2 linked regions of the Caenorhabditis elegans genome follow. The protein of the gene in region 2 purifies or fractionates together with the protein of the main gene of each other region. This does not show direct contact. Each region holds a gene or a part of one and is shown on either strand. Other genes may lie near its edges.

Region 1 (3,636 bases), on a different chromosome or scaffold from region 2:
GAGTTTTCGATCCGAATGCCTCTGGATTCGAAATTTCCCGAGATGGAGGAGTTAAGGGAACTATTCGCTGTCTCTTCAAAGGGCATAGCGTCAAAATCGACTTTAGCCCCTGGAAGTTCGAGATCACCAAGGAATAATTTTATTATGTATTTTCTCTTTTAATGTTTAATTTATTTCTTTAATGTGTTCACTTCAATCAGTTTCGCTGAATAGTTTTTATAAAGTAACATTTGTTAGCTATTCTTTACGTATTTAGTCGCCAGAACAACTATCGAACTTTTTGAAATTACAGCAAACTTATACCAATATTTTTTGACACCTTACATGTCCAACTGGCTTCCAAGTTGTAGAAAGAAAACATCGAAGCAATGATACAAAACAAAAAGTTTATACGGGGAAATCACAATTTCTCAGGGCTTGTCTACCTAAGAATGAAGGGTTTGCAATATTATAGCAAATCTAAGAGAAGATCTTAAAAACAATTTCATATCTCCTAGAAGACAATCATAAAAGGCGGGGTGTGGGATGATAGGAGAGCAGGTGCAAACGATTTGACAGTTTAGTCACTGCAATTTTATTAAAATGACAAACTGAGGACAACAGAACGACATGCTTTAAAATTCACAAGCTAGAACTTAAAAAAACGGGGGAAGGGTCCAATCACTATTGTAGTGGGGGAAGAAAAAACATTGGGAATTTTTTGGATGGGAGATGTGTGTCGGTGGGTGGGTGCGCAATAATTATTACAAAATAACAGAAGGCCCGCATTGAATCGTACGAGATTTCTAAATAATTAACGGGTTTCTTATAACACGCCAATAGTTGAGAAGAGACAAGGGTAATCATTGATGGGGGGGGGGGGAGAATGGATAAACTTACATAATAAATTAACAAACGGCTAATATCGGGGTATGGGGATGTGGGGAGAAAACAATTTCAGGGAATTCGAACTTATTGTTCGGCAGCTGCGGCAGTATTGCCTTGGTTGTCACGTGGAGCATATCCACCACGACGGTATCCACCGTTGTTCTGACGATAACCTCCATTGTATCCTCCACGGTGCTGGTGTTGATGCTGGTATCCGTTGTTGTAACCTGAAAATTGAGCATAAGACGTTGTAACTTCTAAAGTGGAACTATACCTCCATATCCGCGGTTTCCACCACGTCCTCGTCCTCCGAATCCACGACGGTAGTTCAACGAACGCACTGCGTTGTGTCCGAACGTCTCCTGATTCGTTTCTCTCTCCTTCTTCCAATCTGGCCGTCCAGTCTTTCCTTCGGCTTTCTCCAGTGATTCACAGCTGATGTTGTCAAAGAATGAAGTCTTCTTGTCGTAGAAGGCAGCATCCTTCTTCTCCTCAACTTCTGGCTCGGCCTTATCCTCAATGTTGAGCTTCTCAAGGTTGTCGACGAGAACTTCTTGGAACTTCTCATTGGCCTTCTCGAAGTCAAAGTCCGATTCGAACTTCAGCTTTTCGCGGTGATTAACTCGAGGAACTCCATAATTGTTGTGCCCTCTTTGGTTGTTGTATCCGCCAGCGAATCCTCCGCGGTAGTTGTTGTATCCACGGTTAGCTTGGAAGTCTGAAAACATGATCATAAATCCAGAGTTGATTTGAAAGAAAATAAAACTGACTTTGCTGATAACCTCCACGTCCTGGACGTTGATTTTGGATGATTTGGCCTAACGGACTGTTACGGGATGGCGTTCCGGCTCTGGAAGAACCTGCAGAGGCAGCTGGAGCTCCGTCACTTGCTGGGGCTGATCTCGAGGAGACAGAGATGATGGCTGGATCGTATGGAAGCCCTCCTCCAATGTTGGCCATCTGAAAAGACATTATTTAGATCAATGAAGCTCGATTATCCGGCAACTCGCCTTCGGAGTATCACAAACGATCAAATCCTTGATGTCGCTGGCCTTGAAGATGATGTACTCGTAGACATCATCACGAGCGGCGACCGGATTAGCAGTTGGACGCTTCTCGGTTCCGAACGAGCGAACCTTGGCCAACGCGATGGTAGAGTCGTTGGTGTCGACGGTGTAGAGGATTCCCTCGTAACGGATGTCGAGCTTGGAGATCAGACTAATCTTGCTTCCGATGTACGGTGTTTGATTCGACATTATTACCTGCAAAAATGTAATATAATTTAAGTTTCACAACGTTTGAAGAAAGACGAAGAGCAATATTGTCGGGAATAGGAGAATAAATTAACAACTGAAACCGTGTAAATGTGCGCTTCTATCAATCCTAAAACAAAATCTTGCGGAATACTACGAAAAATGTCGAAGCGATCTCAATTGTGTCGAGAAACCTTAGAAATTAACCTAATTGGCCTAAAATCGATACGGAGGTGTCAATAAGTCTTAGAGGAACATCAACGATAATATACAAGGATAACACTGACAGTTTAAAGCCCTAATTTCTTATAAGAAGTGGGAAAAGCTGCAAAAGTTTAAAAGTAAAATGCGAAGCCGTCATCGTTATCGATTCTGCGCCGATGGAGCGTGATTGCATCCGTCTGCCCACTTATTTTATGAGGTACTGCGCAGCCACGGCCGTACCATTGCAGTAAAAATAATTTTGAGTATTAAGAACCGAAAACTCACTAATTGAACTTCTCAAACAGCTAAAAATCGGCAGAAGAAATAAAAGGTAAGCTCAAACTTGAAAATCACAAAAAATGGGAAGTTTCTATCAAAATTCGCAAAATTTAATGATTCTAAGCTGTAACTTTAAGTTCATCACGTCAAAAATAATTATTTTAGCAATAAAACATTGAAAATTTCCCTAGAAAATCAAAAAAAATAACGAAAAATCAACAATTTTGCGAAGAAAACAACAAAAATCCTAAAATGGCGCTGCACCCCAATCCCATTTAAAGGCGCATGTTTTGCTATAGGTTTTTGTGGGTCTCGCCACGATTCTGCAAATCTTGGCACCGTGCCAACTCCGTAAATCGACACTAATTATTTTTCAAAATTTAAATGAAATAAAATCAATTTTTGTGCGAATTTATTGAATTTTCTCGTTTTTTTGTGATAAAATTGTGAAAAAGACTGAAATTTACTTAAATTTTATTGTTTAAAACTAGTTATATCTTCTAAAATCAATTTTTATTCGATTTTTCAGGCAAACTCCCGCGAAAAATGGCCGGAATCACCGCACACTCCCAATCCCAACAATTTGAAGAAGACGAATTCAACGAGATAAAGAAGACCGGTGTATCGTGTGATCGTCTACGTCAAGCACTCAAAAAATGCATCAAAAACTCGCATTGTGTGCAAGTTCAAGCTCGATCTGCGAAGGAATGCATCGATGCACGTGGCGACGGAAGTGTACCCGACAAATGTTTCGCCGTTCTCCAAAATTTCACCGACTGCAAGCGATCACTGGTGGACATGAGATCGAGATTCCGAGGAAGGAAGGGCGATCTTTGAGCGAATAATTCGAAAATTTTCATATTTTTTGTTACTTTCTTTTTAGGATTTCAGCTTTCTCTATAATATAATACGTGTATAAATCTATTTTCCAGGAAGAATGTGTTAAAAACTTGAGAATTATCATCGTATCGCTAAGCTGGGCCTGTGGATTCGGCTTTTGGGAATTTCCCGCAAAATATTGAACTTTTCGCCT
Region 2 (5,024 bases):
ACACATCTTTCCTAATTTCCGTGGTGAAGGTACACGTGGAAGTGAAGCAGATATTCTCTGGCTTTAAATCCAAATGCACAATTTCCATTTTTTCCAGCTTCTTCATAGCGGACAAAATCTGTGCTCCAATTTCTCGAATCGTTGCAATTGGGAACGAGATTTCCTTGTTCGGCACCTCCGACTTTGTTGAATCCATAACGCTGAATAACGATTTTCCTCTCAATTCCATCAGAATAGCAATTCGGAGATATCCTTCTGGAACTGAAGCCATTTTTCCACTTTTCACGAGTTTGATCAAATTCGGGTGGTGAGCAGCGGCGACAGATTTCATTATCTGTAAATAATTGGGGATTGAAAGCTGAAAAATGGGGGGAAAAAAAATTATAGATTATTTAAATACCTCACTTTCGCGAACCCAGTCTTCGCATCCAAACTGTGTGTGTCCTGCTTTGAAGAGCTTCAGCGCAAATTTCTTCTTCTTCTAAAATATTAGATTTAAAATTTAAAGCACAATTTTAAAACAAAAAAACCTCAGCATCAGCAACCTCAAAAACTGTGCCAAAAACTCCTTCGCCAAGAACCGACACATTTTCAACTGAAAATTCAATTAATTTCTTAAAAAGATAACGTTTTTAAAAGTTTTAAAACAACTTACGATCGGTTCCCCAATTCGTGCGAAATGATTTGTCAGTTGTGCCATGAAAGTCGACAAATCGTCTGAATTCGAGCTTCTCACCACAGCTTGAATAGGCTTTTTTAGCCGGTAAGGAGTGGTGTTGGAGACAGGTGCTCGCACGTTTCATCTGAAATTTTAGGCCAAGTTAGGCAAAATTAGTAGTGAGTCGAATAGGAACAATAGAAATAACAGGTCACATTTGCATTGAATTTGGAATATTTTTAGGTATTTTTTCTCGTAAAATGTAAGAAAATCAATTGAAAAACCAAAGAAAAAGGTTGAAATTTAAATTTCTTATATTAAAAAAAAAAAAAAACTTTTAAGTGCCGGTTACGGTACGCAAGTCCGCAAACACGCTGCATACACTCCACAACTACCGTAGTCCACGGGCGGCCGCATTGCGCAATTGCGTGAATTCATAATCCTAAAAGTTTTTTTTTCATTTTTGTCCTATTTCCTTCAAAGTTTGTTCGTTTTCCATCGATTTTCACCATTTTTTTTGCACGAAATATTTTAAATTATCAATATTCTTGATACAAAAACTTTATTTTTCCTAATAATTCCCGTTTTTCAGCCATGGCTACCCGAAACATGCTCCAATCATATGGAAAACGCGGAATTTACGTTTCACTGGCTGTCGCTGTCGTCTCGACTGCCGCCTTCAACGCATTTTACGTCTGGCCACGTCACAACAAATATGAAGAATTTTTCGCGTCAGTCTGATCCTCGCACAAGTTTGTCTCAACGAAAACTTGCAGAAACTACGATCCGTACACTAGAATGAAGGAGATTTGCGCTGCTAACAAGGGATACATGCATACTTGTCCGAAGGAATTGGCGAAATTGTACGAGGAGAAAGGAAAAGCTGTTGCCGAGCACTAAATTTTCGATGAATTGCTTATAACAAAGCACTATTATGTCTTGTTTTCTTTCATTCTTGATCAGTATTTACATTGTGTTTTATACCACATGCATATCTTCCTTTTTTTAAAACCATTTTGTAACAACGAAAACCTCCCTTTACAGATAATAATGGCTGAGAATAAGAGTTCGAGTGAACTGCCCGATAAGAAGACTCTTGATATGAACAAGGAATGGGTGCAGGAGCTGGAGGCTGTGAGTTTCCAAGTGTTTAACTTATAAATATTTATTTTTTTCAGATTTTCTACAGCTACAGAAACTACGACGTGAGCAAGATCAGAGTTCAACAGTTTTTGGACAGATCATCCAACTTCCTCATCTACGATTTCTACACCTCCAACCTTTCTCTGGAGTATGTGAATAATGTCACCTTCAGTACCCTCATTTATACAAATTTTCAGCGCGACGCAGTATTTCCAAGCAGGAATCACTCAAAAGGACGTCGGACTGAGCAAAGACTACATCCTCCTCATGCGGAAACTCTACAGTATGCTGACGGAGCCGAGCAAGCAGTTCTTCCAGGAGGAATTCGTGAAGGAATGGCAATTTCACGAAATTGATTATACGCCATACTTCGAAACGCTCGTACCCAGATTCAGGGAGAAAGTTGCGAGCCTATTGGATGAAATTTCCAAAAATCCAAAAGAAGTCGACGATGATTTTCAGGAAGAGGTAAAAATATAATTATTTTCGAATCACGGTTCATATCGATATTTCAGCTCCGCTGGCACCTGCTCTACTCACCAGCCACCACTCTTATGGAAATGTTCACTCAATGCCTCAAGAACTTCGACATCGCCGGAATTTGCATAGAAGTGTGCCAAAAAGTGCCACAATTGTTCTTCGATCGTCGGTTGAAAATGTATCACACGGAATACGAAACCGATCGAGTTGAATCACTCATGGCTCTCGTTTTCCGCAGATTGATCCTCAATAAGCGTTGGGTGGATACTAGTAACGAAGAGTGGCGCAATTTGGAACAACTCGCAAGAGTCATATGCTCAGGAAAGGAACCCGCGTTGATGTCCGCATGGGCACTTCTGGATGTGGTGCTTTGCGAACTCTACACAGAGAACAGAATTCCCATGATATCGGTGGAGGTTTTGAGCGAGATTGCTGCAAAAATTGTCGAAAACTTCGATAATTTGGAGTATGCCACGTCGGCGAGATCTAAGCCAGCTGACAAAGTTCTCTTGACTCCCTCGATCATTTGTTTCTTGCTCAACACTATTGATGACGCGAACGTTTCGAATACAGTCATTGAAAACTGTAAAATGATTCTCAAGGCGATTGGTCAATCCATGAAGCAGCCATTCGATGATGAAGCGAAGAGCTACTTGACTTCTGAGGTTTTGAGAAAATTCCCGTGGCCCGTAGAATTCGCATGTTCAACGTGGTTCAAGTCACTGGAAGTTGAGAAGCGACGCATTCCATCAGCGATCTACAAAGCAGTCAATGGAGCAATTGAGGAGACATTCGACGAAAGAAGCGGAATTTTTGGTCAATCGGACAATAAAGGAGACGCAGAACGATGCTCGTCTCCATCATCTCAATCTTCAGTGAAGACGGCGATATCGATTGGCGATAAATCAGGCACCGCTGTTGATAATTTGAAGATGAATGAGCTGAATCTGAGCCCAATGTCAGCAGAAACTGTAGAAGATGAGAAAAGCTGTAAATCCGCGTTGGTCGCAGAGATATTCGAGGAAATCCCACTGGAAACTGATCAAAACATCTCAGTTTTTGAAGATCCACTCGAAGTTCTCACGGAATACCTCGATTATATCATCACGATGGGAGTGTTCGACGTCTCGTGCGCCAACGAGCTCATGTGTCACAGCTCAGTCACGTTTGAATCCACGGAACAGCTGGAGAAAGTTATGAAGAAGGCGTTTGAGGAGAACTTCGAGATCGCAAAAGCCGGCCCACAGCGTATCAGAGAGATTTGTGCGAAGATTTTGGAGGTAATTTTTTTTTGATTTTTCAATAAAATTAATTTCTGAAAATCGGCCATTTCTGAATTTCTATATTTCCAGGTTTTCGCTCCAAGCTCGTCGGAATCGGACCACGACCGTATCGCTTCTTCGCTCATTGAGGTCATTCCAACAGAAAAATATGAGGACACTGGACCAAGATGCACTCAGGATTTAAAGAAATCGGAAATCATTCAGCCTCTGGTCATCATTCCAGACAAAACATCTATGGAACGCTGGCCGCCAACTGGTAGGAAAATGATACTAAATTATCGATTATTTCGTAAATAATTCTGATTTCTTGCAGAATACCGTTATAAACCAAATGAAATCAATGGATCTCGTAACTCTGCACGACATGAACGTGAAGTTCGCAAGCAAGTTGCATTAACCAAATCTTTGGAAATGGCTCAACTTCATCGCAATTTGTGGGCGGAAAGCGAGAGAAATATGGACCACTGGACCCGACCAGCGTCCCCAGGCAATCGTCCATTTTTTGGCGGATCTCGCATGAACTCGTCCACATCAAGTATGTTTTTAAAAGAAAGCCAATATGTTTTGTTTTAATTATAATTTTTGTAGGAGCGCATGGCAGCTCTACGAACGGGTTCCGTTAAGCCGACTGATCGCCCCTGGAATGTTTAAAACGTTCATTTTATTTTTGTTCTTTTGTTTTCAATTTTTCGTTCCTGATTTTTGTTGTAAAATGTATTTCGCATGGTTTTACCCCTTTTTCACTGAGTTGTGGCCCTAAGTCACCGTATTCTTTTTGTTGTTACCCTCGGAATTTTTTAAATAATTACCCTCGGAATTTTTTAAATAATTTTTCCCGATTTTTTCCTAGGAATATGTTAACGTTGAGGTTTCTTCCTCAACGTGAACATTTTAACTCAATGGTGCTCCATGAGGCCATTTCCTTTTCAATGAATTTTTTAAATTAAAAAAAAACGACAAGATTTGGCCTCTGGTATTTATTTAGAAATATGTTCTGAAACTTTTGTGAATATTGTTAGAGTGTGCAATTGCGCGTCAATTCACGTGTTTTCACACACGACACGCGATAGGAGAGAAACCTGAAGAAAAGATCCACTTTTAATGCGATATTTATCCCTTGATTTTATTGATTTTTGAGAAAAAAACGTTGCTTTTTTCCAGTAATGAGCGGATGGTTACGAAATATTCAAGGACAATTAACAGATTTGGCAAATGAAGTGCTAAATGAGGCGAATGATGTGTTGGCAGAGGCCACAGAAGAAGTTCAAGATCCTGATGGAGAGATTATTGTGAGAATTATTAATTTTAAGTTAAAATTGTTAAAAATTGGAAAAATTCAGTTAAAAAACTCGAATTTTAAATAAAAAATCAATTTTTTAAACCAAAAAAAACTTCCAGGTAGCTAAAAAAAAGGCAGCTGAAGCCGAAAAGCAACTTGCAATCGAAACTTCGCGTGTCGA

The links. The genes of interacting proteins can lie anywhere in the genome.
Region 1: the proteins of herd-1 (region 2) and car-1 purify together in Caenorhabditis elegans (affinity purification with mass spectrometry, with the first as the bait; one large-scale study listed by BioGRID). This does not show direct contact.

Annotation. Positions count from the first base shown.
Region 1 is NC_003279.8:12,902,963-12,906,598, reverse strand, and holds car-1 (Protein LSM14 homolog car-1), read right to left. Parts: upstream 2,130-3,636; 5' UTR 2,124-2,129; coding exon 1,878-2,123; intron 1,828-1,877; coding exon 1,638-1,827; intron 1,586-1,637; coding exon 1,142-1,585; intron 1,095-1,141; coding exon 952-1,094; 3' UTR 559-951; downstream 1-558. Other genes in the region: coa-5 (Cytochrome c oxidase assembly factor 5), read left to right, coding at 3,150-3,440. UniProt on the Caenorhabditis elegans protein: Transcriptional regulator. Involved in modulating embryonic expression of ATP-dependent chaperone cdc-48.1. May play a role in mRNA gene silencing, and RNA granule (P-body) assembly.
Region 2 is NC_003281.10:12,494,836-12,499,859, forward strand, and holds herd-1 (Edg1 TPR repeats region domain-containing protein), read left to right. Parts: upstream 1-1,702; 5' UTR 1,703-1,708; coding exon 1,709-1,792; intron 1,793-1,836; coding exon 1,837-1,949; intron 1,950-1,998; coding exon 1,999-2,269; intron 2,270-2,316; coding exon 2,317-3,561; intron 3,562-3,633; coding exon 3,634-3,820; intron 3,821-3,877; coding exon 3,878-4,099; intron 4,100-4,152; coding exon 4,153-4,187; 3' UTR 4,188-4,512; downstream 4,513-5,024. Other genes in the region: Y111B2A.1 (Protein kinase domain-containing protein), read right to left, coding at 1-334, 401-481, 531-595, 656-803; Y111B2A.2 (Mitochondrial cytochrome c oxidase subunit VIc/VIIs domain-containing protein), read left to right, coding at 1,253-1,389, 1,435-1,558; sql-1 (GRIP domain-containing protein), read left to right, coding at 4,728-4,853, 4,963-5,024.